Canis lupus familiaris: one gene and its partners. The protein of the gene in region 1 binds, or shares a complex with, the protein of each later gene. Links are inferred from orthologs where the notes say so. Each region holds a gene or a part of one and is shown in the gene's direction. Other genes may lie near its edges. The genes, in order: TRMT112, METTL5, THUMPD3 and THUMPD2.

The links.
Region 2: the proteins of TRMT112 (region 1) and METTL5 are in contact, whole or in part, in a crystal structure (PDB 6H2V), measured with the Homo sapiens proteins. The link is inferred for Canis lupus familiaris from reciprocal best matches to the Homo sapiens genes TRMT112 and METTL5. Residues at the interface, in NP_001359000.1 of Homo sapiens: Met1, Lys2, Leu4, Thr5, Leu8, Leu9, Ser10, Ser11, His12, Phe21, Pro22, Leu23, Pro34, Val35, Asn38, Asn40, Phe41, Arg44, Met45, Lys48, Glu92, Arg111, Gly112, Ile113, Pro114, Asn115, Met116, Leu117; in NP_001280115.1 of Homo sapiens: Asn52, Lys53, Val54, Gly75, Leu76, Val78, Ile82, Leu87, Asn91, Thr100, Ile102, Asp103, Met104, Val105, Gln106, Cys107, Asp108, Asn114, Arg115, Met116, Ser119, Phe120, Asp121, Arg150.
Region 3: TRMT112 (region 1) and THUMPD3 share a complex: the UniProt entries of both Homo sapiens proteins name them as parts of the heterodimeric THUMPD3-TRM112 methyltransferase complex. The link is inferred for Canis lupus familiaris from reciprocal best matches to the Homo sapiens genes TRMT112 and THUMPD3.
Region 4: TRMT112 (region 1) and THUMPD2 share a complex: the UniProt entries of both Homo sapiens proteins name them as parts of the heterodimeric THUMPD2-TRM112 methyltransferase complex. The link is inferred for Canis lupus familiaris from reciprocal best matches to the Homo sapiens genes TRMT112 and THUMPD2.

What each region holds. Positions count from the first base shown.
Region 1 is NC_049239.1:53,259,147-53,266,459, forward strand, and holds TRMT112 (multifunctional methyltransferase subunit TRM112-like protein), read left to right. Parts: upstream 1-2,912; 5' UTR 2,913-2,956; coding exon of another isoform or gene 2,957-3,013; 5' UTR 3,014-3,328; coding exon 3,329-3,406; intron 3,407-3,496; coding exon 3,497-3,811; intron 3,812-3,900; coding exon 3,901-4,008; 3' UTR 4,009-4,177; downstream 4,178-7,313. Other genes in the region: PRDX5 (peroxiredoxin-5, mitochondrial), read right to left, coding at 139-200, 364-402, 476-607, 1,077-1,211, 2,957-3,013. UniProt on the Homo sapiens protein: Acts as an activator of both rRNA/tRNA and protein methyltransferases. Together with methyltransferase BUD23, methylates the N(7) position of a guanine in 18S rRNA.
Region 2 is NC_049257.1:14,778,834-14,785,503, reverse strand, and holds the end of METTL5 (rRNA N6-adenosine-methyltransferase METTL5), read left to right. Parts: intron 1-167; coding exon 168-250; intron 251-1,168; coding exon 1,169-1,220; intron 1,221-1,309; coding exon of another isoform or gene 1,310-1,326; exon of another isoform or gene 1,327-1,357; intron 1,358-2,672; coding exon 2,673-2,809; 3' UTR 2,810-3,122; coding exon of another isoform or gene 3,123-3,161; 3' UTR 3,162-3,225; downstream 3,226-6,670. Other genes in the region: SSB (lupus La protein), read right to left, coding at 3,226-3,317, 3,646-3,777, 3,892-4,078, 4,668-4,808, 5,218-5,260, 5,781-5,852. UniProt on the Homo sapiens protein: Catalytic subunit of a heterodimer with TRMT112, which specifically methylates the 6th position of adenine in position 1832 of 18S rRNA.
Region 3 is NC_049241.1:8,846,733-8,854,272, reverse strand, and holds the end of THUMPD3 (THUMP domain-containing protein 3), read left to right. Parts: intron 1-493; coding exon 494-609; intron 610-3,452; coding exon 3,453-3,563; intron 3,564-4,160; coding exon 4,161-4,284; intron 4,285-4,463; coding exon 4,464-4,613; 3' UTR 4,614-4,729; downstream 4,730-7,540. UniProt on the Homo sapiens protein: Catalytic subunit of the THUMPD3-TRM112 methyltransferase complex, that specifically mediates the S-adenosyl-L-methionine-dependent N(2)-methylation of guanosine nucleotide at position 6 (m2G6) in tRNAs.
Region 4 is NC_049238.1:31,897,918-31,906,594, reverse strand, and holds the start of THUMPD2 (THUMP domain-containing protein 2), read left to right. Parts: upstream 1-4,111; 5' UTR 4,112-4,130; coding exon 4,131-4,256; intron 4,257-8,677. UniProt on the Homo sapiens protein: Catalytic subunit of the THUMPD2-TRM112 methyltransferase complex, that specifically mediates the S-adenosyl-L-methionine-dependent N(2)-methylation of guanosine nucleotides, most probably at position 72 (m2G72), in the U6snRNA of the major spliceosome.

The sequences.
Region 1 (7,313 bases):
CATGCTCTCGCTCTCTCTAAAATAAGTAAATCTTTAAGAGAGAGACACCAAGCCAATTACAACAGCCTAGGCCTGAAGGCTGGGAATGGAGGTCGAAGGGGTGCAGGGGAACCCCACAGAAGACCCTCCTACTTTTACCTCTTGAGCCGATGATTTCCAAAGAGAGATACCAATGAATCATCTAGTAACAAATCTGTCTCCTAAAAGAAAAAGCAGAGACAAGGCTTAGAAACTTCCAGAACAGACCAAGCCCTGTCCCCACCAGCTGTCCCTCACATTATAGCCATGTCCCTCCCAGTTCCTGTATCCAAGGCCCGGCACAGGGACCACCCTCTAGTGTGGGGGTTGCTGGTGTGCACTCACCTTCCCAAAGGCCCCAGTGGGGTCAGCCAACAGCCTAACCTAAGGAGAAAGTAAAGGTCAAAAGAACAATCCCCTGCCTGGCCCCTGACCCCCTGCAGGGCCCACATCTCACCTTGCCTCCTGAGTTATGAGCTCGTCCCCATGCCTCAGTCACGAAGACATCATTAACGCTCAGACAGGCTATCACCTGGACCCCCTTGGCCTTCAGAGCCTCAGCCTGCTCCATGAATCCTGGCAAGTGGGTCTAGGAGGGGAAATGAAGGGTCAGCAGAGGGATAATTGCCTCTGCTCATTGGCCTACCCATTATCTCCAGGAAATCCTCATTTCCTTTTGAATATCTTTGATCAGACCGTTAGAAACGCATAAGCCACAAGGAAGCTCAGGTCCAAACTCGAGTGTTCGGTAGTCACCATGAACTTCATCCCAGGGACATGACTATACTTTATTTACCCAAGCACCTTCCATGGTGCCCATCCATGGTGCCCATCACCAGCAACATCAATAAGACAGGTGGGACTTAATCACAAGACCCTTTTCTCCTGCATTCCTGATGTCACTACCTTTTCACCACCTCCACTTATTTTCTGAGTGCTCTGATAGGCCTTCTGTCACCTTATCTATGTGTCCTCGTCGCAAGCTGCCCTAGGACTTAGGAACAATACAGATGTATACACAAGATTCCAACCAGGGAGTCCCAGAAGGGTGGTCTCACCTTGGAACAGCCAGGGGTAAAGGCCCCAGGGACTCCAAACAGCACCCCCTTCTTGCCCTTGAACAGCTCTGCCAGGTTCACCTCGTTCCCAGGCTCCCCTTCAAAAACCGTCACCGAAGGGATGGCATCTCCCACCTAGAGGGAATGGCTTCATGATTACTTTGGTTACTTTAAAAGTGAGCAAAGATGACTAGAGATAGGCTAGACAAGGAAATAAGGAGTTGGGGAGTGAGGGGGTGGGTAAAGAGGCCAAAGGAAAGGTGTTAAACCAGACCAGGCAGTTCCTTCTAGTGGAGCAGAGTTGACAGACTTGTAACATCCTAACCAGCCAGTTTCCAGCGATCCCTCCCTGCCACCCTACCTACCCTCTTCCCCCCACCGCCTGATTACTCCACATCCTCCAGGTTTCAAGATGGCCCTATTCCTTTCACCGGTTTGTTGATGACAACAGAAAATGGAGGAGGAGGCCTCCCTGGGTGTTGCAAGGGATTGAGTAATCAGGGAGTCTCTTTCTTACCAGAAAGAAGTGGGATCTGCAGGCAGGGGAGGAGATGCATGGGGCCTATCTAAGGGGTGAGGAGGAGACGCTGACAACAGGGAGGGAGAGGCCCCTGGCCAGGTCTGAGTGTCCAGCGCTCAGGAAGAGAAAAGGGGAGACCAGCAGAAGGTGAAAAGTTGGGGAGGGGGAATAAAATAAAAGGAATTTCTCAAAGGGGATGGATTAGTCTACTTAGGAAGAGTGTGTGAATGTTTCATGGAGCCAGAGGAAATACGGGAAGGGAGGACAAATCAGGGAGTGGGAGGAAGATAAAGGAGGAGGAGGTTTCAGAAGAACGTGGAAGGGTTCCCAGGATCATTCCAGGTGAGGGTTTGAAAGACTCGGCAGAAGGGTGGGCATGAGCTGCGGGAGAAGCGGAAAGGAGGAGACAAAACAGGGGCTCTAACGGAAAACACTTGTTCCAGACGATGGGGTGAAGAGTGATGCCCCAAAAATATAACAAGAACGTGCAGGAAGGTTTGCAGGGGAGGGGCACGTAGGAGGGTTGAAGAGCAGCCCTGCGGCAGAGGAGAGGGCCGGTTCCGGAAGGCGGAGGAGACGCCTACAGATGGTGGAGACCCATCTTGGTGCCGCATGGTGGAAATGGGAAGGGGGCGAGGGGAAGGCTCGAGAGCTCTGGGGCTGTCCAGTGGATGGGGTACAAGTCCCCTAAAACTGGCGAGACTGCAAAAGGGTGTGGCTGAGGGAGAACCGCAGGAGGAGCGTCCGGCGCGGCGGGCAGGGGTCCTGAGGGCAGGAAGGAGGGGGATTCTCTCCCGGGAGGACGGGCGGGAGGGGAGCTCAAGCTGGCCCGGCCAGCGGTCACCTTGATTGGGGCCATGGCGGAGGCGGCGCTTCTGAAACCGTGGGCCCCGCCAAGCGTCCAGTCCCTGCCTCGCTGCCGCACCCTCCGGCTGTCGACACTGCCTGTGCTGCAGACCCGAAGGCAGCCGCGGGGACGAACCCGGAGCCCACCGGGCCGGTCAGGGCGTCCAACGCAAGCGGCCGCACGCCGACCCCGCCGCGCACCACGGCCCGGCCCCCGCGGCCCAGGCGCGGCGAGGGGCGGGGCCCAGCAGGATAAGCCCCCGCGGGATCCCGCGAGAGGCGGAGCATCAGCGAGGCCCGCCCACGGCTGGGCTCCTCCACTGCGCAGGCGTCGGGGCGCGAGCAAGGGGCGGGGCTTCTGGGGCGCTCGGCTCTTGGGCGTCTGGGGCTGGACAACCAGGGCAGTTACAAGCGGGCGGGGCTTTCGACAGCCGCGCGGCTTATTTGCGTGCAGGGATGGGTTGTCGCTCTCGTGGTGGGCGTAATTTACGGATTGACCGCAGCGTTTCCTTACCCGGAAGCGAGGGGCGGCAGACGATGGTGCCAGGCCGCCCGTGTAGGAGAAAAGCATGTTTATTTTGCATTCAGCAAAGGCCCCTGCGCTGCGGCGGCTTTACACGTGATCTACACTGAGCGTGATCTGTAGTGAATGGAAGCCACTGGGGCTACGCCGCAGTCCTCTGCCAGGCCGCTTCCGGCAGCAGCGCGTGACCCGACCAAGCTCTTCAAGCCCCTCCGCCCCGGCTGCTCGGGAACTTGCAGCATGCCGGCCACTTCCGCTGGCCCGAGCCGTCCAATAGGACAGAGACGGGAGCGGTTCCGGAAGTGACGCGAGGAGCGTCTGCTTTCCTCCGGTTCCGGCCTGGGGAAAGCGCGTTGCCGCGACATGAAGCTGCTCACCCACAACCTGCTGAGCTCGCATGTGCGGGGGGTGGGGCCCCGTGGCTTCCCTCTGCGCCTCCAGGTAACGGCGGGGGGGCGGGCTCGCGGCCGTGCCCTGGGCGGAATGGAGAAGCCGGGCTCTGGTCCCTAACAGAAGCCCTCCACCCTGCAGGCCACCGAGGTCCGCATCAACCCCGTGGAGTTCAATCCCGACTTCGTGGCGCGTATGATACCCAAGGTGGAGTGGGCGGCGCTTTTGGAGGCGGCGGAGACCGTGAGGACCCTCCCCCACGCCCGTGTTCACCTTCCGGGGGAGTGGGGCGGGGGGGAGTGGTCTCACCGCCAGCCCAGAGCGAGGGGCGGGACGCCCGGAGATGACTTAGGCCTTTGCCCACAGTTGCATCTGGTCGAGGTACCCAAAGGGCCGATTGAAGGGTATGAGCATGATGAGAAATTCCTGAGGCAGATGCACCACGTGCTGCTGGAGGTGAGAGCAAGCCCATCGCTTGCTTCCCCGGCCACCCAGCCACAGCCCGAGGCTGCGGGTACTCAGCTCTGTTCCCCGCTTCCCCGCAGGTGGATGTGTTGGAGGGCACCCTGCAGTGCCCAGAGTCTGGACGTCTGTTCCCCATCAGTCGCGGGATCCCCAACATGCTGCTGAGTGATGAGGAAACCGAGACTTAATCGTGCCAGATACTAATTTTGAAGTCTGTAACTGTGTATGTTTCTGTTTATATCTAGCCTATTTGCTAGTCCGTCGTGTATCCCCACCCGTGACCCAGTGACACACGAGAAACACGATGTTCTTGAGCTCGATATATTTCTTTTTCTCATTAAAGGTTCAAAACCAAAAGCGGTTTCTCTTTGCAGCAAATATACATTAAAATAGAGTCTCTGTACAGCCAAGGGCTCTGGGCCCTGGCTTGCCCTATGTCCCTGCACCTCCCTGGCCAAACCCAAAAATAAATATAGTGTTATTGCTCTGCAGGGCATAGAGGCAGTGCTCTCACTACCCCCTGAGGAGGCTGGGTGGGAGCTGATGGGGGGCCATGGCCACCCCAGGGGTCCAGGGGCTGGAGCCTGCTTGGAGTTATTGCTTCAAGGGGGGGGGGGGCAGTAATGCCCAATGCAAATGATGAGGAGAGGAGCGAAGGGGGCAGGGGCCTTTGCTCTCCAAATCCCCCTCTGCTCTGGAGAGGGGGTAGGATTAAGCAGCAGCAAAAGCATCACCCACTGGGAGACTGTTGCCTCCACTCCCTTCCCTCCCTGAGATCAGGCTTCTGCCCCCGCCCCCAACACACACACACATGTCCCCTGCAGCCCCCTATGGCTTCCGCAAGGCCCCCGACACTCTGGGGGCACGTTATGGCTTGCAAGGGGCAGCACTGTGCCCAGAGCCTGGGCGCACACATTCCCAGCTTCTAAGACCCCCTGGGAGAGAGGAGGGGAGGGCGTAGGGCCTGTTCCCAGGGGCTGATGATATTGCCCTGGCCCTGCCAGCAGGCTGTGGCACTGCCCAGACCCCAGCTCTGCCCCCTTGGGGCTGAACCCATTCCGGGCGGGTCCTGCCAGCACCCCCACCCATGCCCACCCCTTGCCTCAGTCCATCATGGCCTCGAGCATCTCCAAGAACAGCTTGTGCATGGGCACCTTGCCCTCCAGCTTCACCCCGTAGAAATGGGCCAGCACTTTGCCCGCTGTCTGGCGTAGGAGCGGTAGTGTGAGCAGCAGCCTGCCTGCCCGCCGCCGCTCAGCACCCCCTCCGGGGCCTGCCCGGCCGGCTTCATATTCCAGCAGGGCCTCATGTAGAGCTTCTCGCAGCTGCTCCACAGCCTCGGCATCCTCAATGTGCACGGAGTCTGCAAGGAGGGGTCAGATGCTGTTGACATGGACCATCTCCAGAAATGGCTAAGCCCACATCTGCTTGAGCACTGTGGGATGGGGCCTGAGGAGGAGCCAGATGCAGATCCGATAGGCTTATTGGAGCACCACTCACTGCTCCTGCCCATGAGCCATGGCCCACCCTTTCTTCCTCACCTATGGCCACCTTTTGTCTTCCCCCCACTTCCCTCCCACTGAATCGTTCACCTGTCCACATAAGGATGGCCCTAGAGCTCCAAATCCTACATGTAGTTCCTGGGTCTGCCCTCACCTTTGGGACTTGAAACAAAACACTATTCATCCCTAATCCCCAATTTTTATCATCTGTGAGATGAGATGGTGCCACAATCAGGGTTACAGACTAGAGGGCCTCCTGGAGACACCTGTCACCATGGACTCACCTGAATTGGCAAGGGCCAGAGCCTTCAGCAGGACATATTCCTCACGCTCCAGCCTCAGGGCCTGCAGTCGCCTCACCAGCTGCAGCAGGGCGGCCCCAAGTTCCCCCAAGCCAGCTGCTCGTGCCCCCTCTTCATCCAGGACCAGGTCCTCAGCAAAGGCCAGCTCATCCTGCAGTGGCAGTGAGCGCTGGGCCACACCCAACACCAAGACCTCCATCCATACACTCTGCAGTACTGACATCTGGTCAGACAGTGACAGTGACGAGAAGCCTGGAGGATAGTGGGAAGCAGACCTGGCTGAACAAGCTCACCAGAGCCAGGCATGGCCTGGCCTACAGAGGGAAGCCCCACATCACCCCGGCCCTTTACCTGGGATACTCTTGGCCCAGCTGATGGTGACCACAATCTCTCGGTCAAAGAGGTCACAGAGGGTAGCCACAGCTGGGAGGTGTCCGTCAGGGCCCGCTGGGTCAGGCATGGCATAGAGCTTCTCGGGCTCTACCACCAGCAGGTGAGACACCAGTGCATTTACAGGAGCTGCAGTGACAGATGGAAGAGGCACTCGAATTCATCCCCCTGCAGGCCCCTTCAGGGTCAAGTGTCTTGCCCAAATTAGTTCCCCTGCAGCCTTCCTCATAGCCACTGGCCAGCCAGGCCTGGACACTGCTCTCGGGAAGGGCTCTCACCATCTCCCAGGGAAATCAAGTTCATGGACAAGTTCTGAGTATGAGAAAAATCTTTCCCGGTTCCCAGGTGTACTACTCAGGGACTGATTTAAAAAAAAAAAAAGGTATTTTTAAAAATACTTCAGGGAGATGTATTGCCAACAAATGAAAGGAAAACCGAGAGCCCAATGCCCACGATACCCATCCTGGGTGACAGACACCTAACAGGCCTCTCATGTCCTGGCCCCATCTGAACCTGAACTTCGAGGACCCATAGCACTCTCACCAGTTTTCCGAGGGCCTCCAGCTACTGCCAGGGGTCCAGCAGGGAAGGAGCCTGGGAAGGGTAACGGGTCCACCTCGGGCCGCCGCTTGTACTTCTGGCGCCCACCTCGGACACGGTCCAGACGTACTCCTTGAATTTAGGATAGGGCTGTGTCCATGGGGCTGGGGGTGGCTTACTGTGCAGAGCCCTCCTACCCAGTAGATTCCACCAGAACTTCCCAGGCCTTGCCCACCCCAGCTCCATGCACCCAGGCCCGTGCCCCGTGCTCACCCTCCTTGAGCATGCCCACCCGCAGGCACTTGGTGAAGCGACAGGCCTGGCAGGCCTTGCGTCTCCGCTTGGTGATCTCGCACTCGTTGGAAGCCGGACAGCTGTACTCAATGCTCCCTGCCAGAAAGAGGCAGGGCTCCAGTGGCGGCCTCCCAGGGCCCAGAGGGGGCTCAGAAGATGGGAGAGCCCAGACTCACCCAGGGCAAGCACAGGTCTGGGAAGAGCAGGAGTGCCCAGAGTGTGGCAGGGAAGCCCAGAGCCCTAGGGGGCTGGCCTCTGGGCTGGGGGCTCCTGACTAGGCAAGGGAAGCTTGAGACCAGAGGTGTCAGACTGACCTCTGCCCCCAGCCTCTAGTCAAGCCACGTCCCTGGACTCTACTAACCTCATCTGTTCCCATCCAGGGCCACAGCAGCCTCCACACTGCTACATCCCATAGTCCATTCTTGTCCTCATCTTACTTGGCCTAAAGGGGCATCTAATGCCATG
Region 2 (6,670 bases), on another chromosome or scaffold:
TTAAAAGATACATGTTCTACTTTTTTGCATCTTGTCTTTTTGCAGGAAGAATTTGAAGTGTCTATTTTGGTTTTGGGAAAAAGTTTTTAAATACCTGGTATTCATTTAATCCACTATTTTGATAACAGGTATATAAAGTAAATATGAGCTTTTTCTACTTTTAACAGGGACAGATATGGCATTTCTGAAGACTGCTTTGGAAATGGCAAGAACAGCAGTATACTCTTTACACAAATCCTCTACTAGAGATGTAAGTTCAAATCATTTTACTTCAAAATTCATGACAGCGTTTTATGGGTTTGCTGTGAATGCTAATTACCAGGGTATCTCTTCTAAATTCTTTAAACATCTGGCACTTAGAAACTGAATTTTCCCTGTGACTAGCTAGCATTAGTTTTCTTCCAGCCTATATGACTTCTGTCAAAGATTTGCTCTGGCAGGAACTTTTACCAAGAGATTACATGAACTTCAGTAGAGAAGTGTGGTATAGCTAGGGTTATAGTATATCCTAGTTTGCCTAAATCCTAGTAATCCCATTGTCCCTTTGTGGTTTTGTGCATAATGGAGGCAGTAAGACCTGATTTTTAAGAACACTGAGCCTGGAGCTAAAGTGAGCTGAGTTCAGAATCTCCCTGTTCCATTATTCTTTTTGCCACCTATGTAACACATGGGGGTATAGAAGAAAACAGAAAATTTGGTGTATTTTTGGTCAATATAACATAATGATCAAGGACACAGACTGTAGAGCCAGACTGCCTACGTTCAAATCCAAACTACCAGTTCCCTGTGTTATCTTGGTCAAGGTATTTGAGTTCAGCTTCATAACCTATACCATTACTTAGCTGTACTCTTATAGTATTAAAATGGCTTGGGTTATTTTCAAAATACTACCAGTTCACTTGAAAATTTTTTAAGAGTCTAAATTCTGGGACACTTGGGTAGCTCAGTTGGTTCAACATCTGCCTTCAGCTCAGGTGATGATTCTGGGGGTCCTGGGATTGAGCCCTACATCGTCTGCTGCTCCCCCTGCTTATGCTGTCAAATAAATAATTTTCTTTTTAAAGTCTAAATTCTAATGAAATTTTAAAGGCTTAAAAAATATGAAGTATTAGCAAAACAATTCTCAAATTATTTTAAAAATCAGCTCACATTAACGTATTATCTTTAGCATATTCAAAAGAAAGCTACAGAATGGAAAATCAAGATAGATATTATTGCAGGTAAGACAATTTTTAAGTTTCTTACAAAATAAATCTAAACCCTAATTATTTAGGGCCAGTAATACATTAGCCCATCCAAAATTTTATAGGTGCTAAGATGCCATAGAACGTGTTTTCAGCCTGGCAAAATGTGAAAGGTTGGTAATGGGTTGGAAATGAAGTAAAGGCCGAGTGTCAGTGTTTGCCTAAGAGTGTCCCAATTTATGCATTTTATGGAAAATTCCTAATTAGCACTCAACTATTTGGCCACTCCAGGCTCAGACAGTATACTTGTCGTGATGTAAGAGCTTGGGCCTGGAGGGGTCAGATCTGTTTAAAACCCATTCATGGAAAATACCACCAGATCATGCCTGATTACCTTTTCCATTTCAATTTTCTAATCGTCCCTAGAGTCAGAGAACATGAAGCTTTTTTCTTTTAACGGGGGATAGGATATAATCATCCACACTATAAGTAAATATTTGATACATTTTTATTAGTAAATTGGGTAATATTCACAAACATCAAAATGGGAAAAACATATAACTAGAAGCCAACTATGGTCCAAATAATTCTAGAGGCCTGAAATAAGAGTACAACATGAGGAAAATATTCTTTACTTAGTAATAAACTGACTAGGATTAGCACTGTAGTGTTAACCATATAACCAGTCCTATTCATAATTAGTAATGTAATGTGGAAAAAGTCTGTCGGTCCTATTTATCCAGTATTGTCATTCCTTACCTAGTTTAAGGTATTAGAACTTGCAGCCTGGAGCACCTCAGAACCATTCCAAGTATACCAAGCCAGGACCTTGCTACTCCAGATGTGGTCCTCAGAACATCAGTATTGACATCCCGTAGAAGACTTGCAAAACTTCAGGCTCCACACAGACTTACTGAATTACAATATGCATTTTAAAAAAGATTTGAAGGTGATTTGATTGCACAGTAAAATTTGAGAGCTGTAACCTATAGAGAATTTATGCTGCAAAATATGAATGATAGGAGTGTACTGCCATCCCTCTAAACTGAGGAGTAATTTTGGAGAACCTAGTATTTCTTAGAGTAAGAAAAATGGATTATCATCACTTGAAAGCTCAGTAGGAAAATACTACCAGTATTAAAATCCAGACAAATTTTAAAAATAAGCATGATTATTACTGCTATAGATTATGAAATTAAAAATAGAAAGGTATGATCATCTTCTGTCCAATTGTTATCCTTTCAAATTCTTCCCCATAACCTCTAATTTTGGCATCAATGACCAAATAGAAATGCCAACCTCAGTTAGCCATGGGCTGACTTGAGAATATATCAAGTCAGTCTCTGGGTAAGTTAAAGTGACAGGTCTGAAATGTTCTGCTTACCAGGGTTAAATACTTCCTTAATTTTTAAGAATTTACATATGTAATATATGTATTGTCAGGGTTGACAAATGAATTTTTATTCTTAGATGACTTTTGTTTTCTAGAGCTACGATACGACCTGCCAGCATCATACAAATTTCATAAAAAGAAATCCGTAAGTCTCTGGATTCTGGCTTATCTGCATTCAGTACTGAAGAACTTTTCAATAAGTAACTATTTACAATGTTATCAACTTGCCTGAGTAAATACAGAAAGCTAGCCAAGGAGACAGAATAATTATCGATGTGATAACAGCCAATATCCTGGTTCAAGATATTCTTTCTCAAATGCTTTAGGCACAAAAATAAAAAACTAAGTTTTTGCTCTTTTTATATAGTACATATTTTATTAGTTTGTACTAATACATTTTCATATTACAAAGGCAATTTAATGGAAGAATCTTTCTTTTGATATTTGAAATAACACAAACAGAACTATACATTAAAAAAAATGTCTTCATTTGGATAACAAAAAAAGACAAGTTAAACAACAACAAAAATTTTCCTTTCTTACAGGTTGATATTGAAGTGGACCTAATTCGGTTTTCTTTTTAAAAGCCTCTAAAGACAAAAGCAGCTTAAAACCTAATTAAGATGAATAAAAAATTTTTTTACTAAATTACTGGTCTCCAGCACCATTTTCTGTTTTCTGTTGTTTTGGTGTAGGTTGTTCTTCTTTGTCTGTTTCCTCTCTTGCTCTTTTTACTGGTCCTATACAATTCAATAAAGAATTTTTGTTAAGTTCACTATGTAAGCATTACTCTTTTAATAGTGAGCATAATTAACAAAATAATTGTTTGAAAAGCAACAACTTCCCAACACCAACAATAAGGCTTTTTCCTTTGGTACAGATCTTCTCTCTAAACTTATCTTCCAAACATCTTTTTTTTTTCCACTTGTAAAACAGGATAACTTGGGTAAATCACAATCCAAAAGTCACTTATACCAAAGGTGAAAAACCACACTGCTGTCCTTTCAAATAATTTTGAAATAACAAATAATTTTTCATCAAAGAACCAAAGGACTTAGAAAAACTTACCAGATGCACCATTCTGATCGTGTTCTTCATCACTATCAAATTTAGTTTTCTTGCCCTGAAACTGTACTTTTCCTTTAGCAGACCCAGTCTGGGCAGCTTTATTCCCCTTTCCTTTTCCTTTAAATCTGCGACCTATAAAAACATAATTGATAAATCCATAAAAGTCTTAAGTCCTTTGTCACGGTCTCCGAACAAGCAAATGAGTTAAAATAACCAAATAGTCCAAGACAAATCAGAACTAATGACCTTTTGATTTCCATTTGTTTAGAGATTCTTGTTGATCTTCTATGATTTTTTTCAGTGCTTCCTTTTCCACATCTCCTTCTAGTACTTCCCACGTCACTTCTTTGTTCCTTAATTGTAGGTTTCCATTATTTGCATCTTTGGCTTTATCCAGTGCTTCCTTAGCTTTTTCTTTAAATAGAATTATCCCCTATACCAAAGACAGTAAAAGCCACACCCTTAAGGTTTTTTTTAGTACCATAGCTAATTCCATTGCTCAAAACTTTTTCCTGCCCTGCAAATCTTCTCCGCCATTATCAGTTTCAATGAATTTTAACTGAACTTTAGAGAGTTATCATAAAACTTGCAGTCACAAATACCAAGTTATTTATAGCCTAACTCAAAAAGTATGAGACATCACGTCCAGTGATGGCAATAACAAAATGGAAAGTAAAAGACCAAAAACTATTTCATGAACACATTATTAAATAATTTTGTCGCTAGTAATGTTATCTTCTAAAAGTTAAGTTTCTATGGATTTTTATTTTATTTTTATTTTTTTTTTTAATTTTTATTTATTTATGATAGTCACACAGAGAGAGAGAGAGAGAGAGAGAGGCAGAGACACAGGCAGAGGGAGGAGCAGGCTCCATGCACCGGGAGCCCGATGTGGGATTCGATCCCGGGTCTCCAGGATCGCGCCCTGGGCCAAAGACAGGCGCTAAACCGCTGCGCCACCTAGGGATCCCTTCTATGGATTTTTAAACTGATTGCTAAAAAGCCTATGAATGTTTCCAAACCTCTTTTGCTCCTCTGACAAAGTCTATCCATTTTATTTCACCATGACTTGAGAAAAGGATGTGCAAATCTTCTCTACAGGTCTGATCATCTAAGTCTCCTGAAAATTTCAGCAAGCAGCCAATCTTTTCTTCTAGAGATTTCTGTAAAGACATACAAAGCATTAAAGTTTTTTAAAAGCAACCACAAACCAGATATGGCTTAAACCACTCTATACCTAATACATGGGAAAAGCTAGAAACTAAAATGCTGTTTTAAAGTAGTTTAATAGTGCATTTTCCTGTGGCATCCCTTATTATACAGTGGCTTCTGATGGTAACTTAAAATTTTATTTCTTCAACAATATAATATTTACCTAGCTGGATATATTGGTTATTTAAAAAATGTAGTTACAAGTTCTTTCTCTGGGTAATGATTTTAGGCAGTATTATTGGGCTATGACTTTAGTACAATGAAAACTACAGACTTGTTCACATACTTGCTTCAAAAAGTTCTCACTTTTTATTCTCATAAATTTGAATTATAGCTTAGATACCAAAAATACAGACTTACTATTTCAGCACTTTCTGCTAACTTTTGTTTTTCCTCTTGCTCTCTACAAAAGAAATGGTAATTAGAATCTTTCCATTAACTGTATGAGAAAATTAAATCCTGATAAAGTTAACCTTTTTTTTTTTTTTTTTAATTTTTATTTATTTATGATAGTCACAGAGAGAGAGAGAGAGAGGCAGAGACATAGGCAGAGGGAGAAGCAGGCTCCATGCACTGGGAGCCCGATGTGGGATTCAATCCCGGGTCTCCAGGATCACGCCCTGGGCCAAAGGCAGGCGCCAAACCGCTGCGCCACCCAGGGATCCCCTGATAAAGTTAACCTTGATCATAATCACACATTGCTTAATAATCAAAGGCAGTCACTAGGCTTTCTGATTGCTCCTGGCTAGAGTGCAACACTGTGGCCCCCAGATTATTAAGGCAGCTTAAGATCTTAATGTTTCACTAGCAAAACAAAAGCCTACTGCTACTCATTTCAGAACTCATCATCAAGCTCCACTTCCTAGAACCACTATCTCTGTCAAAGCTTTAAGAAATTAAAATGACTGGCTCAACGTACTTACTGTTTAGCTCGTAATTTAGCTTCTACTTTATTTTGCTTTCTTTCTTCATTTTTTTTGGCAAAGTAATCTTCCCTAAAGAAGACAAAATACAGGGACTGAGTTCATGAGAACAAAAATAAGACTAAATTATTTTGAATGAATTAAACACAAGAAGGAATATTACACTTTCTAGAAACATAATTACCTAAAAATTCAAAAGATGCCAAGGAAGTTATTTTAATAACAGCTTTACGAAAAAAGTCAAATTCCATAAAATGTACACCTTTTAAAAGTGTACACTTCAGCGGTCTTTAGTATATTCAGAATTGCACAACCATCAGTAATAATTTCAGAACAAAAAGAAACCTGATGTCCATTCCAATCTTGTATTGATTTTACCATTCATGTATGGAAAAAAAGGTAAACCAGAATTTGTGGAAATAAGTTCATAGAATTTTCTACAGTGGTACTCTACAGTAGGAGAAAATTCTACAACCTCTGAAACCCAAGAGCAAGAGCAATTATGAAAATCAAGTTAGGGACGCCTGGGTGGCTCAGTGGTTGAGCATCTGCCTTCGGCTCACATTGTGATCCCAGGATCCTGGAATCGAGTCCTGCATCAGGCTCCCTGTAGGAAACCTGCTTCTCTCTCTGCCTATGTCTGTCTGTCTCTCTCTCTTTCATGAATAAATATGTAAAATCTTAAGAAAAAAAAAAAAGGGAAAGAAAATCATGTTAAAAAATACTTTTTAAAAAGTTAACACTAATTGCACGATGCACCACAGTGCATCTCTTAAGTCCATCAGGTTTAGTACATGGCATTTAAGATTACATAATGTGAAAATAGGGAACAATGGCCTAACTATCACAAAAGTATCACAAAAATGCTCTGGTGTGTCTAAATTGTTAAC
Region 3 (7,540 bases), on another chromosome or scaffold:
TTGGTTAAGTTTTTCAAACCACAGTTTTATTTTAGGTCTATAATGCTTACTTTGTGCCAGACACTGCTGGCTGAAGGATTGAATAAAATATCAGACTTGTCCTTAGGGAGATTCTTTAAAAGGCAGACAGGTATAGCAATAATTAAAAACAAGTGCAGTGACAGAGTAAGTACAAAATGCTTTGGGTTGGGGAGGCAAATGAGAGACAGCTGGAGGGTTGGGGTTGATGTGAGAGAGGGTGCCATTTGAGCTAGGTCTTGAAAGATACATAGGAATTCAGCAAGTGAGAGAACAGGAGGGCTTCTCAAGCAGAGGGAATAGCAAAGTTCACAACATGCAGTTTTCTACTACTTTAGAAAAGCATTGGATTATTGCATTGGATTGTCCAGTTTATTGACAATCAATTGAAATGATTTTCCTTTTAATCATTTCATTTTTTTGGGGGTGCAGTTTGTTACTTTGGTTTTAATATATATATACTATTGTCTTTTAGGGGGCTACTGAATGGTCTAACTGTTATCATATTGCTGGTGATAATAATCCGTTGGCTGTGAATAGAGCAGCAAATAACATCTCATCTTTATTGACCAAGAGCCAAATTAAAGAAGGGTAAAAACCTAATTTAAAAAGTTTTGTAGCATTTCTTAGATTTAATCATGTTTCCTATCAACTTTATGAATTAATACCCCCAGTGCATGGTGACATCATTATAACTAATATGAGCATACTGTGAGATTCCATTAAATTTAAAACCGTTTATTAAAAGTAACTTAGAAAAATATTTTATTTAACTATATTTTCCCCACCCAGTGCAATTAGTTTATTTCTGTCTTCCTTTTTTCTTTCATTTGTATTATCTTTTTTCCCAAATGGTGGAAGAATATTGCATTGATCCATTTTAGTTTTCCAAATTTTCAAACACTGAGTTTTTTCTATAGTCTTTTTAAAAATGACTGCATATTTGTGTAGAAATACTACAGTTATTTAGCCTTTCCTGTATTATTTGGCACTTTAAGGCAGTTTCAGGGCTGGAGGAAAGCCATCTGGCTGAAAGCCATCTCCACCTAAATGTCCTATAGGAAATCCTGACCAATGGCCTTCCAGTCTGTGTCACCATCTCTAATGACGGTCTCTGAAGGCTGTCAATTCCATCTTTGCTTAGCTTGGAGTACTAGTATTGTCTCATAGTGAACTGAGTTCCTCTCTGTACCTTCTAGAGTTTAGTCCCATTTGGATCCCTAAAGAATCTTAGCTCTGTGTCACATAATGCTTGACATCAGACATTTGAAGGGCTACCAAAACTCCCCCTCCTCCTATCCCACTCCAAATCCTTCTGCAAGCAATATTTCAGAGGCCTTCAGCTGGATCCTATCTGTGCACTGGAATTCCATTGGCCTCTGAGAAATGTTTTTGTCTTTTTTTTTTTTTTTTTTTAGTCTGAGCTATCTATTGTTATAGTATCTTAAGCCCTGGCCCACTGTTTCATGTTATGTTCCATGATGCCACCTGTGCCACCCTTTCACCATTCTTTCAGTTTCAGCTGTCTTTGGGAGAATTGGTTGAAATGTCACTTGGTCTTCAGTTTCTTACCAGAGGCCTCATCATAAAATTGTTTCTGTGGTCTCCTCTGCTGGTGCCTTTTTCTTAGAAAGTGGCAGGAGTAGGCAGTGGTCAGCAGTTTTGTTCAATCATACAGATACTCCATATTCTGAATACATAACCAAAGAAAGTCATCATACTCTATAATTGGCCTTATCAAACCTAGAAACAGCTGCCTGAATAACCCTTAATTAAGGTGAGGTTTATATTTGTAACTAGAAATCAGTGGTTTTAGAAAGTATCTATCTCTTTGATGCAGATATTCCTGTTATTACTTAACACATGGGATGCCTCATACTGTTTTATGTCTGTATGTTGGTTATCCTCCTTTTGTGCTAAATTTTCCGCCTTTTTTGATTAAAATCAAAATTTAATTCATATATTGTTTATTCTGGGCTTTGATGCTCATGGCTTTTTTTTTTTAATTTTTATTTATTTATGATAGTCACACAGAGAGAGAGAGAGAGGCAGAGACATAGGCAGAGGGAGAAGCAGGCTCCATGCACCGGGAGCCCAATGTGGGATTCGATCGCGGCTGGGTCAAAGGCAGGCGCCAAACCGCTGCGCCACCCAGGGATCCCTCATGGCTTGTTTTTTATTTCAATTTCCTATTGAGGTTTTTAAACTTGTTATTTAAATTTTAAGTTATATGCTATAAATGTTTTAATGATAAAAATTTTTTATACCTTTTATGCTAATAAGCACTCATTTTGAACATACCCTATAGATTTGTACAATTCTCTATTTTGGTTTCTTTTTACATCGTTGGTTATGTACTTGTCTATGTGATCTAGTTGTCTAGGGCAGTGCTTTTCGAAATTTAATGTGCATGTGAGTCACCTGGGGATCCTGTTAAATACAGATTCTGATTCAGTAGTTTTCATATGGGACCTGGAAGTTTGTGCTTGCTAGTAAGTGTATAGGTGATACCAATGCTGCTGGGCTGTGGTCCAACTTTGAATAGCAAGGCGTTTACATCATTTTTTGCATAGAAGTAGTTGAAAGGTTTTAATTCATTTTACATTTGTTTTATTGATGAATTTTCATGGTACATTTTGTTGTGTTTTTTTTTTTTAAGATTTTATTATTTATTCATAAGAGACACACAGAAACAGAGAGGCAGAGACACAGGCAGAGGGAGGAAAAGGCTCCATGCAGGGAGCCTGACGTGGGACTTGATCCCAGGTCTCCAGGCTCAGACCCTGAGCCGAAGGCAGCGCTAAACCACTGAGCCACCTGGGCTGCCCTACATATGTTTCTTTAGGTCTTGTTAGTAAGTGATCTACCATACTTTATTTTTATTATTTTTTTAAGATTTTATTTATTCATGAGAGACACAGAGAGAGAAGCAGGCTCCATGCCAGAAGCTTGATGTGGGACTCGATCCTGGGACTCCGGGATCATGCCCTGAGCCAAAGGCAGACGCTCAACCACTGAGCCACCCAGGCATCCCTCTATCATACTTTAGATATGTCACCTCATAATCTTTTTTCCCCATGTTCACTGATGCTTTACATTCTCAGTTATATGGTTTACTGTTTCATTACTATCGTCAGTCATCTTTTGCAGTTGTGTCAGTCTTGTTTACTCCTTAATCAGTTTTCTTAAGTTGTAGATGGAATCAGATATCTTTTGAAACCATTTTTTAAATTGTCACTAACAGATTTGGTCATTAGAAGTTTTATCATGTGACCTTAAGCTTTCTTCCTACATTTTGCTTTAAAAATTTTGGTTATTAAGTTAATGTTGTCATTGAGATTATTTTAGTAGCATTTTATATTTTATAGCAGTCTCTTCAGAAATGTTTTTAGATTTCATACTTCAGAATAAGCACCTTTCCTTTGTCCCCATAGCAAAGTGTCCTGGGGCTTGCCCATAGATGCTGTTCAGTGGGATATCTGCAATCTGCCATTGAGAACTGGCTCTGTGGACATTATTGTAACAGACATGCCATTTGGAAAAAGGTAGGACTTGGCTTTTAAAAAATGAATTTTATCTTCACCTGTTAAACATACCCATTTTGTCTTCTAAGAGCTTATTCTATCAGAAGCCTTCAAATCCTTTTAGTACTTAGAGCACTTTTTCACTTCAGAATTATAAATAGTATGATGGAGTCACCAATTTTGTTTTTAGTGTAGAAATTAACTATATTTTGATCTTGGCCATCACACCTTAGTCCACTTCCTGGCCCATTGTTGAATTACAGGATACTTCACAAAGATTGAGGAAAACGGTACTAATTTTCAGGAAAAATGTTTTCTCATTGGTTTGGTTTACATAATCTGTTTATTACAGTCATTAAGAGGACAATTTATGAAACTATTACAGTTGTCAAAGTTCTGTAGTCAGTTCATCTCTTTCATATTTCTAAGCAGTTTACTAATATATCAGATTACTCATTTTATTGGCACATTACAGCAAAGCCATGGCTTCTAAAGGGCAATTGTTTTGTAGATTTCAGGATTTTCTTATTGTAATGAGGATGAGTTCTTAATAGTTTCTCATTTCGTATAGTCCTAGATGTTTATCTACTGTTTGATTCACTGGATCTTCTTTTATAGGATGGGCTCCAAAAAGAGAAACTGGAACCTTTATCCAGCTTGCCTACGGGAGATGAGCCGTGTCTGTAGACCAGGGACAGGCCGAGCTGCACTACTTACTCAGGACAAGAAATGCTTTGCCAAGGTGCTGTAAATTACCCCAAAAACTCACCCTGTCACAACTTTAGGATCTTTTAATTTAAACTTAGGGATACTGAGTATGATTTGTTTTCTGTTCCCCCATAGTTTCTTACTGGCAAATAGATTGCTGGTTGGTCTACAGATTACCTGCTACTTACTTCTTTCCTTTTTATGTATACACAGGCATTATCTGGAATGGGACATGTTTGGCGGAAGGTACATACTGTCTGGGTGAATATAGGGGGTCTTCATGCAGCAGTTTATCTTCTGAAACGTACACCTCAAGCTTTTATTCATCCTTCAGAACAAGATGGGGAAAGAACTCCTTGGTGATGCAAATAATGAAGACGGTTAATGGTATCTGTACCTCCCAACACAGGGAATGTCAGCATGATGAACTTGGTTTAAGAGAAAAATAGTGTTAATAAAATTGCAGCTTGCAGTTTAAATTGGTCTAAAGCTCTTCACCTTTGTTAGCAAAAGGGGTGAATGGAATTTAAAGTCTTAGGCAGAGCTTTGGAACTCTTTTTGACAGACTGGCCAGGTAATTACTACTTAAAATTTTTTCAAGATCCTAAGACTACTAAAATGCTCTGGGATTTGGGTTTTGAGTATTTATTTTCAGGCTTCATGGCAATTCCTTTTTTCCATTGTGGGAGATAGAAAGCTACCCTGGCCTAAAGGAAAGGAAGAAAACAGCCAGAACATTTGGGGCCATATTGCATTGCCTATGCAGTTTTGCTCTTTAGTTTCTCATGTTGGCTTTACATCACCCTTTAAAAACAAATGAAACATTCCATTTTATGAATAGTGTTTGCCCCATAACAAGATGAAATCTTAGGGATCCCTGGGTGGCGCAGCGGTTTGGCGCCTGCCTTTGCCCCAGGGCGTGATCCTGGAGACCCAGGATCGAATCCCACATCGGGCTCCCGGTGCATGGAGCCTGCTTCTCCCTCTGCCTGTGTCTCTGCCTCTCTCTCTCTCTGTATCTGTCATAAATAAAAAAAAAAAAAAAAAAAAAGATGAAATCTTAAAAAAAAATAAATAAATAAGATGAAATCTTACCAGACCAATTGGAGAGTTTACTATCTGCCCTAAAAATCAAAATATGCATGCTATTAAAATTAATATATAAAACTAAAATAGAGAACTAAGATTGATCAAAGGAATTGGCACATACTTTACTGTTAGCAGTGTGGTACATTTCTGTTTGTTTTTAAAGATTTTATTTATTCATGAGAGACACAGAGAGGCAGAGACACAGGCAGAGGGAGAAGCAGTCTCCATGCAGGGACATGGGACTGGATCCTCGGTCTCCAGGATTAGGCCCTGGGCTGAAGGCAGCACTAAACCGCTGAGCCACCCGGGCTGCCCACATTTCTGTTTGTAAAGAACAAATACACTGGTAGGTTAAGTATCAGACCAATAAGCCAAACTTGAGTACACAAAAGTGGTGTTCCTTTCCCTTTTTTTTTTTTTTTTTCCTTTCCCTTTTTTAAAGATTTTATTTATTCATGAGAGACACAGAGAGAGAGAAGCAGGCTCCACGCAGGGAGCCCGACATGGGACTCAAGGACCATGCCCTAGGCCAAAGGCAGGTGCCAAACCACTGAGCCACTCAGGGATCCCCTGGTGTTCCTTTTCAAAGTCCAACATAAACTTGTCAAAAGTATTTGTTGTTTCTTAAAAGGAATAGAGAACATACTGATGTGTCTTTGAATTAAAAACTTTATAAGGAGTGCCTGGGTGGCTCAGGTCATGATCTCCAGGTTCTTGGATGGGGGCCCCACATTGGGCTCCCTCCCTCCCCCCCTGCTCAGAAGAGTCTGTTTCTTCTACTTCCCCACTCACACTCTCAAATAGTTTTTAAGAAAAAGCAAACTAAATGAGAATTCTTCTATTTTCTCTTGGACCTATATTTGTAGTTAGCTGTTTTTCCAGCTGCTTAAAGTCCTTTCTGAGGTGGTGGAAAATAAAATGAATATTAGTAAGTCCTTGTAAAAATGGTACTTCCCTGGGACATAGTAGTTGAGGTACATGTGGAAGTCTTTATTCAGTTTCAGGCTATATTCAGCTTAGATTTACAGTGTCGTGTTAGTAATATATTAGTACTACTCAATACCTTCTTAGATATCTCACATTTAGACTAAAAGGACATAGCATTTCTTTCCTTTGAAAGAAGAGAGTTCATATTAGCAGCATAGCCAATAGTCCTAGTTTGGTTTCTCTCTGATCTACTACCCCACACTTCAGCATGAATTAGAGGGAAGACACTTACAAGGGTTTTATATTCTAGACCGGAGTTTTTACCATCAGAACACATAGTTGCACTATTTTGGGTTCACCATAAAATAATCCTTCACCTCTTAATCATTTAAACTTCTCTGTTGGGTCAGTAATCTGCAGAAGTGGTAAGGAAAAGGACCATGTCTGTTTTCACCACTGTTTATCAAATGCCTGGCATAGTATCTGCCAAAGTGGACATTTAATATTTGCTAAATAATTGTTATTTTTGCATGTTGGTTTAGTTTTTAAGTATCCCAAATTTGTGCTTGACCCATCATAAGCTTTAGTCCTATTAAATAGCAATGTAAAAACATGACCAGATTGGTTTTAGGATGATGCAAATATGTTAGTGAGCACTCAGCAAGCTTGCTATCATCCTCCCTACTATTATGTTTTGTAATCTGGGGACAGGAACAGGAAATGGGCTAAGGACTCTGAAGAGCAGGGATTGAGCTATACGTGATGCAGTCACCAACTAGTTATGTGACCTTGAATTGGGCCTCCTGTACCACGGGAATGCAAAAGAAGGGGAAGGTAATCTTTATAATCTGAGCACAAAATGGCCAAATTACCTGCCAGACATTCTATTATTGTAAGAGTCAATATACTTTAGAAGGGAAAAAAATTAACAAAGATTTTATAAATTTAATGAAAGTAAGATGGTTATCTCCCAAAGACTGACCATGTGCTAGAGCTAGAAAGGGAAACATTTGTTCTAAAATTTATTTTAGGGACGCCTGGGTGGCTCAGCAGTTGGGCTTCTGCCTTTGGCTCGGGGCATGATCCCAGAGTCCCGGGATGGAGTCCCACATCAGGCTCCCTGCTTGGAGCCTGCTTCTCCCTCTGCCTGTGTCTCTGCCTCTCTCTGTGTATCTCATGAATAAATAAAACCTTTAAAAAAATTTCTTCTAAAATAGTTTAAACTTTCAGGAAACTGCCAGAACTGTAGATTGTGGTATATCAATGTCAGATAC
Region 4 (8,677 bases), on another chromosome or scaffold:
TGAGTTCACTGTATCTCCATGGGAAGGTGAGTTTCAGAAGATGGAGAATCAGGGCACTTGGGTGTCTCAATCAGTTACTGTCTGCCTTCAGCTCAGGTAATAATCTCAGGGTCCTGGGATTGAGCCCCACGTTCGGCTCCTTGTTCAGTGGGGAGTCTGCTTCTCTCTCTCCCTCTGCTCCTCCCCCCAGATTGTGTTATCTCGTTCTCAAATAAATAAAATATTTAAAACTAAAAAAAAAAAAAGAGAGAGAGAGAGGGGAGAGAGATGGAGAATATTCTGATTTGGCAAAAATACTCAGAGGGAAATGCAAAGCTACAACATAACAAATGTTCACTGGACTTCAGGATAAATTTATTTATTCAACTCTATTTATTAAGTGCCTACTATGTGCCAGGCCCAGTTGCTGTCCTTACCATATATCATGTTGTATTGTCATCCTTTAAGTGTCTCAGCAATCCAGCACCATCACCATTACCACCCATTAAACTGGCTGGAACTTTGTCTTATCAACTGATACACTGATATGGACTCAATAAATATTTATGAATGAGTAAATAATAAAGGTATAAGATTTATAAATAGCAGCATACTTAGAAAGGCAGCAGAGAGCATTCTGGAAGATGTGGCAATCTGCCTCAGCCTTAAAGAAAAGAAATGGAAGAGATGATTCCAGACAAAGGGAACAGGATAAGCAAAGGCCTGGGAGGAGGAAAAGAGTGGGCATTTTGGAGAAGTTGGCAATTGAATCCTTTGGGATGCAGCAATGGTTCCTGGTCTCTTGGGGAGAAGGGGCCTGGCTCGCCACCAACCCCACTCAACTGTAACAGAACATGGAGGGTGAGGGAGGGGAATAGGCAAGCATGACATTTTGAAAAGACCCCAAAGGTCATTCAGACAAGTATTCCTAGTTAAGGAACATTATTAATAAAGTATGTGGGGTGGATTAAAAGGATGTTGAGGAAGGAGGGGAAGTAGCAGACAAAATCATGAAGAAGGTTATCTCTGGTGTCCTTCTATCCCCTCAATGTCCTCCATTAGCCTCATATCCCCATATCTCACTCATAAGGGCCCTTCTGGTGTGGTGGTTGTTGGAATCCCTCCTAGGACCTCTTCTGTGAGTGACCTTCCATTTAGTTATATTCCATCCAATTCAGCATACATTGACTGAGAAACTTCCACAGGCAAGCTAGTGTGCTTGTTATGGATGCTCAGATCAATGAGGTCATGCCATCCTCAAGGATCTTTTTTTAAAAAGAAAAAAGATTTTATTTATTTATTCATGGGAGACACACAGAGAGAGTGGCAGAGACACAGGCAGAGAGAGAAGCAGGCTCCATGCAGGGAGCCCGATGTGGGACTCGATCCCAGGACTCCAGGATCATGTCCTGGGCTGAAGGCAGTGCTAAACCGCTGAGCCACCCAGGCTGCCCCCCATCCTCAAGGATCTTACAACCTAAAGCATTTGCATTTTAATATCTAAGTACATATATCAATGTTTTTTTTTTCAAAGATTTTATTTATTTGAGAAAGAGAGAGAGAGCCGTGTGAGTGCACAAGGGGGGAAAGGAGCAGAGTGAGGACAAGCAGACTCCACACTAAGTGTGGAGCCTATGGGGCCTAATCCCACGACCCTGAGATTACCACCTGAGCCAAAATCAAGAGTCAGCCAATTAACTGACTGAGCCACTCAAGTGCCCCTATATCAAATGCTTTTAAGAACTAAAGGAATTGCCAACTGCACCAAAATATGGAGATCTTGAAGCAAATAATCATGCCCTAAATTCCTAAAATGCTCCCATTTAATTGCATATCTGTTGTAAAATTGTTCCTGCCAACTGCCAACTTCCTACCTGTTGAATATGCAATATTGAAACAGCAAAACTCAGCTGGATATGCTAAATATCTATAGGGATCAGTGGTTCTTTTTCAGTAGAGACATATTTTAATGAGAAGCAGAAATGATGGAGGAAAGAGTATTTGAGTAATGAGAAGAGAATCCCAGGCAATTCTCCTCTCAGAAAATCATTTTCTCCCTATACAGGCAAAACTTCACCTATTTCACCTCATCTCAAGCACCATGTGAAAGGCATTCTTAGAAGTTCTGTGCTGCAGCAAGGCCCAAAGGTGAGCAAATGCACTTGCCCCCAAGCCCCAGCTTCAGCAAGAGTTAGCCCCTAGCCCTTGCTGACCAGATGCTCCTGGTGGCAGAAAGACAACAGAAGAAGGGGAAAGAGGATATAAGGGGAAGACTGGCTCTATAGGACTACAGCCTCAGCTCAGTAGTGGTTCTGTCCAGGAAAGCATGTTGCTAGGCAGCCCTACACTAGAAAAGTCATTTCTTCATCCACCATGGGCAGCACCACCATAACATTACCCCTACCCACCTCTTTACCTTTATCTCTATTAACTTCCTAACTCATATGCTCTAATAACATCTACCCTCTGATGTGGCCCTTCTGCCCCCAACCCCTCAACCACACACATGGTCACATTTATGTATGCTGCTCCTACTACCTGAAAGGCTACACCAGTACTAACACCCACTCCTACCCCCCATCTCCACAGTCATGTAACTTAATACAACCTTCAACACTTGGCTCAGGAGTCATTTTCATAAGGAAGCCCTCTCTGCTGCCTCTCTGTACTGCCACAGCATCCTGGGTGCATCCTCACTAAATCAATCTCACCATTCTCTAAACCCCTTAGAGTCCAAACCCTTGCTTACTCATTTTAATATCCTCAAGACTTAGCAGGAGGTCTGGCAGAGAGTGGCTGTCCAGTATTTGTTGAACTATGTCTGAGCGCTCACCATCTTGGGTACAGAATGTACAAAGTACTAAAGGGGTCTCAAGGGTCTCCCCAAACAGACTTGAGTGTCAGGAACCCCAAAGCATAAAGAAGTTGGGATGAGCTATGTCAACTGCCGAGAGAATGAGAACGTAAGTCTGAAGGCAAAAAGAGAAGGAAGGAAGGAAGGAAGGAAGGAAGGAAGGAAGGAAGGAAGGAAGGAAGGAAGGAAGGAAGGGAGGGAGGAGGGAGGGAGGGAGGGAGGAAGGAAGGAAGGAAGGGAGGGAGGAATTTGCCAGAATGAAAGGATCTGAGAAGTTTTAGGACCAGAAGCTTGAAATGCTTGTGTTACAGGATTCTATAAGAATTTTTTTACTACTGTCCCAGTAGACCAAGAGGTGGGGCGGGGTGGGGAGGAAAAGAGGGAGTACCTGTTACTTGCCTAGGTCCCATTGGGAAGCACATGAGAGGTACTTGCCAGAAAGATAGTCATTCGTTTAAGAGTTTCTATATAACTTCATATACGCACAGAACTAACGTAATGCTGTCAGCCTTGTAATATGGATTCTGTTCCTCCCAAGCAATATTTTCATTGCCAGTTGAAAATTCAAAATTCAAGAAGCCTCTTCAAATACTGTTAAGAGAGCCAATTTAGTTGGGTGGCCCAAACTAGATGGTGCATTCTTTACCTTGGTGGTTGACTTAATAGTGCAAGGAATGTGACCTGCTTTATGAACATAAAAACGTTCCGTTGCAGAGTGGCGATTTCTGCTCTTGATCCCGAGGATTCCCAGCTCTGGCCCAATTCCTGGTGAAGACGGAAGAGGGCTCCTCGTTTGAGGAGAGTAGTGGGACAGGATGGAGAAGGGGAGAGGGGAAAGTTGGGAGAAATGGAAGCGAGCTCATTATCCTGGGTATCAAGACGAGCCTCAGCTGTGCCACTAACTGTGCCTCGGCCTGCCTAGGGGTCAACTTCCTCAATTTCAAAAATAAGGCAGATGGGTTAGATGACACCAGTCGTTTTTATAGATCCGATAACGGATCCCAATTGTATCCCATCCACCTGCGAGTCTAAGTAGTTCAGATGCCTAATCAGGCAAGTTTCGAGCAGTTAACACAGGAGACCCACAGCCCCCGCTCCCAGGGGACCGGCCCCCGACGCCCCCCTCAGGCCCCCCCACGCCGTGGCCTCCCAGCGCGCTCGCCGGGCGCTCCACTAGACCCCCCCACGCACTCCCCGCCCGCCCCCACGGCGGGGGACACGGGGACGCGCCGCGCGCCAGGTCACGTGACCCCCACGGGCACGTGACCCCGAGGGGCGGGGCCGCGCGCAGGCAGACATGGCGGCGACGCCGGCACATGCCGGCCCCCGGCCTGCAGCGGGCGCCCGGTTCTTCTGCACCGCAGGCCGCGGCCTGGAGCCCTTCCTGATGCGGGAGGTGCGAGCGCGGCTGGCGGCCACGCAGGTGAGTCGGCCTGGCTGCGCGCCCCGGCTGGAAGGAGGGCCGCCCTGCAGCCGCCCGGGCTCCCTCCGCGCCGAGGCCCGTGTAGACCCTGGAAAGCGACGCGAGGCCCCAGCTCGCAAACCGCGGACCCGCAGAGGCGACAGCCCCGGGCCTCGGAGTCCTGACACATCCTTTAATGCCTGCTGGAGAGAACCGCCAGTCGTTGTCCCCTCCACGTCTGTTACCGCGCGTCTCTCACGCCTGTCGTTTTACTAGAAGGGGGGGGCGGGGTTGGGGCAAGTTATTTCCTCGGATGCTTTAAAGGCGGGTACAGGACAGTGCCTGTGGTTGGAATTAGATCCGTCGGAGTCCGAAGCCTTCCTCCACCCTTTAAATACAAATGCCATCCTCAGGCTCAGTCACTTGACCCTGTCAAGGTTCCTGACCATGGCTGGGTTGCCTTCACAGGGTTGTTGGAAGGATTGTATGACACAGGGTACGTCAAGTACACCCAGAACACCGGTTCAGGGCAGCCCGGGGGGGCTCAGCGGTTTAGCACCTGCCTTCGGCCCAGGGCGTGACCCTGGAGACCCACGTCAGGCTCCCTGCGTGGAGCCTGCTTCTCCCTCTGCCTGTGTCTCTGCCTCTCTCTGTGTCTCTCATGAATAGATAAATAAAATCTTTAAAGAAATAAAATAAAACACCGATTCACAGTAGCTGCAAAAGCGATACCGTCTCGGAGGCCTCATAGTCCAACTGCTGGAGGAAGTTGACAGTTGCTGGTATTTTCTGTTCATTTCAATGAAATGAACAAGGTTTTTTCCACGTGAGTTTCCGTTCTAGAACATGCTGAGCTGGTTCATGAAAGCGGAGGGAACAGATGTCGTAGAAACAGACTCCAGTAACTTGATGGGCTCTCTATGACCGTGTGAATGATGGGTGTTTTAGGAAAAGGAAAACTTACTGAATGAAATTGACCGTGCCACTCTAGCAGGCCCTGCAGAGCTGGAAGCCACAAAAGGATTTTCTGCGGTGAGGGTGTTGGGGGCGTGGATGATACAGGGAGGGGGTCATGAAAAAAAATGGCATCTGTCTTAGATTACCATCCATTTGTGGTTTGGGTCCCAGAATTTAATAGAGTGTTGCATGTAGATAATCTAAAAAAAGCAACAGTATAAGATCTGCTGACATCCATGAAGCATTTACTGTGTGTGAGGCCCACGTTCTTAGGTCCTTACTCTGTATTCACCTGCTTAGTTTTCACAACAACCATATGAGGTAGGCTCTACATTTAACAGAAAAGGAGAATGAAGCACAGGTAAATCCAATAAATTATTCAAGTCATGTAAAGTGGCAGACCTGGGATTCAAACCCAAGCTGTCCATGAGCTTAGGTATAAGTATATAATCATGTCCAACCCAGACAGGCCAGGTACCTGGGTCCAGTTCCTTGACTCCTGTGCAACCATTACATCATGCTGCACTGATTTTTTTTTTAATGTTAACTTAGAGTTCTTAGTATGAAAAATGGAAGGCTTACCCCAATTGGAGTATGTCTAATTAGAAAAATTATCCTCTCTGCTTGTTCCCCATCCTCTCTAAAGACAAAAGGAGATACAGAGTGCACAGTGGGTGAGTAGGGGGCTCATCACAGCCAAAAAAAAAAAAAAAACCAATTTCAATTAATTAGAGGGATAGACTTATTGGCAATGGGAGGAATTAAATGTCAAGAGATTTTGGAATTTCCATATTTTGATTGTGTATGTTTTAAGGATATACTTGGAACTGGGATCTGAACAAATAACCTCTGAAATTCCATCTCAGTTTCACTAATATAAACTCTCAAAGTTAAGGCAATTTTGAAAGAATAATGATAGCATCTAACATAAAGCACTTAAAGTGTGTCAGATGCTTTTATGTACATTGGGTACGACTTAATCCTCAAAAGAATCCTATGTGATAGGTCATTTTTCCCTCCATTTTACAAAGAAGTAAAGAGAAAACTGATGCTACCGGGTGGAGCTGGGACTTGTATCTGAATCTTTCTTGCTTTGAAGCCATGTGCTTTACTACTGCATTAAATTATAGTGGGGAACTGCCCCAAAGCATGTAGGTCATTTTTGTAACAGCATGGAAAAGAGTGTATGAAGACTTTAGAGGCCAAAGACATGTTCAAATCTTAATCTTCTTTTAAATTTGGGCTACATACTCAAATTTCTGAGTCTTACTTTCCTTGGATATAAAATGGAGATGATAATACCTACTTTAAAGGATTAAAGCAATCCTTGAGGTAAAGATCCATAGCATGTATAACACAATGTCTTGCAATTAATAGGTGATCAGTAAATATTGCCAATGAGTGAGTTACACAGGAATTCTTAAAATCATTCACGCAGTAACGAGACTGTTAGAAACTGGTTTGCTGCAAGAAAGTTAATATTGTAAAATCTGAATTTACAAAACAAATTATTTTAGAAGTGATTGTTTACTTTTACAAATTAATCACACCTTTCTAATCAGTGTTTCTCCAGTTTTAGTGAACCTAAGAGTCATGTAGGGTGCTTTTTGAAAATGCATGGCCCAGTGGCCACCCCCAAAAACTTCTCTTTCAGTAGGAATGTACACAAGCCCAGTCATTTGCATTTTCCTGCAAACTCTTCTCCCCTCAGGTCACTGATTTAGGTGCTTCCTCAAACATGCAGCTTGCAATAGAAAACATCCTGTGCATTCTGTATAGCTTTTCATCATGGAGAATTTCAAACAAAAATAGAATAGTGTGAATCTTATGTACTCATCGACTGGCTGCAAGCACAATCCCGTAGTGAATTCTGATCCATTAATACTCCTCCATGTTATTTTGAAGTAAACTCAAAATATCACTTCATCTGTAAATGTTTGCCTATATAGTAAGTCACCCTTATCCTTGGGAGACACGTTCTAGGACCCCTAGTGGATGCCTGAGAACATGGGTAGTACCAATTCTATATATACTGTCTTCTACTAAATATATGTACTCATAATAAAATTTAATTTGTTAATTAGGCACAGTAAGCAATTAATAATAAAATAGGACAATTATACTGTAATAAAAAATGTGAATGTGGTCTCTTGCTCACTCTCCTGCCCTCTCTCTCAAATTATCTTATTGTACCATACTCACCCTTCTTATGATGATGTTAGATGACAAAGTGATGAGATGAAGTGAAGTGCGTGACCTTAGGCTACTATTGACTGACTCTGATGGTACTTCAGAAGGAAGGTGGTAGGGGCGCCTGGATGACTCAGTGGTTGAGTGCCTGCCTGCCTTTGGCTCAGGGCGTGATCCCAGGTTCTAGACTGAGTTTCGCTTTGAGCTCCCCACAGAGAGTCTGCTTCTCCCTCTGCCTGTGTCTCTGCATCTCTCTCTCTGTGTCTCTCACGAGTAAATAAATAAAATCTTTTAAAAAAAAAAAAAGGGGGTGGAGCTTCAGGACTATGATTGTAGGCATCATGACATGGCCTTATGCTATTGACCTTACACTATTGACAGGAAATGATACCACGGATAACGGGACTACTGTATATCTAAAAGAAGAGGACTTATATATGGTATAATATAGAAGAGATAATACATATAATGGCTCTTTTTACAATATAAACCATAGTATCATCATGTCTAAAAATAATTTCTTATCAAATCACTGTTCAAATTTCAACTTGTCTCAAAACGCCATTTTTAAGTTTGTGTATTTGAATGAGGAGTCCAGTAAGGGCCACACATAATGATTGACTGATAATCTTTTAAGTCTCTTTTATTTTTAAAAAAAATATATTTTAAGTCCTTTTAATCTATAGATTTTTCCCTACACCTCTCTTTTTTCCCCCAGCGATTTATTATTGTTAAAGAAGCAGGGTTGTTTATAGTCTAGATAGAGCAAGGGTCGGCAAACTTTTTCTTTAAAGGTCCAGATAATAAATATTTTATGCTTTGTAGATCACATATGTGGATCACTTTGTGGTTTCTGTTACATATTATTTGTTGTTGTTGTTTCTTTTTATATCCCTTTAAAAATGTAAAGACCATTCTTATCTCACCAGGCATCATTTTCTGGCCCCTTTCTAGTCTAGAGCTGTGCTATCCAATAGGAGGTGGTGGCTATTTTAATTAATTAAAATTAAAAATTCACTTTCTTAGTCACATTTCAAGTGTTCAGAAGCCACATGTGCTAGTGGTGACTGCGTTGGAGAACACAGGTTATAGAACATTTGAATCATCACCAAATGTTGTTGGATAGCACCATTGAAGTTTCCACTGGTCCTAGGTAATGCCAATTATATCTCCATGTGGTAGTTTAGCATGTTTCTCTGTCCTCTCTATTTCCTGTAAATTGGAATCTTGTAAGTTGTATCTAGAGTTTGTTCAGATTCAGGTTAGATTTATTTTTCCTCCTGGTGGTGGAGCCA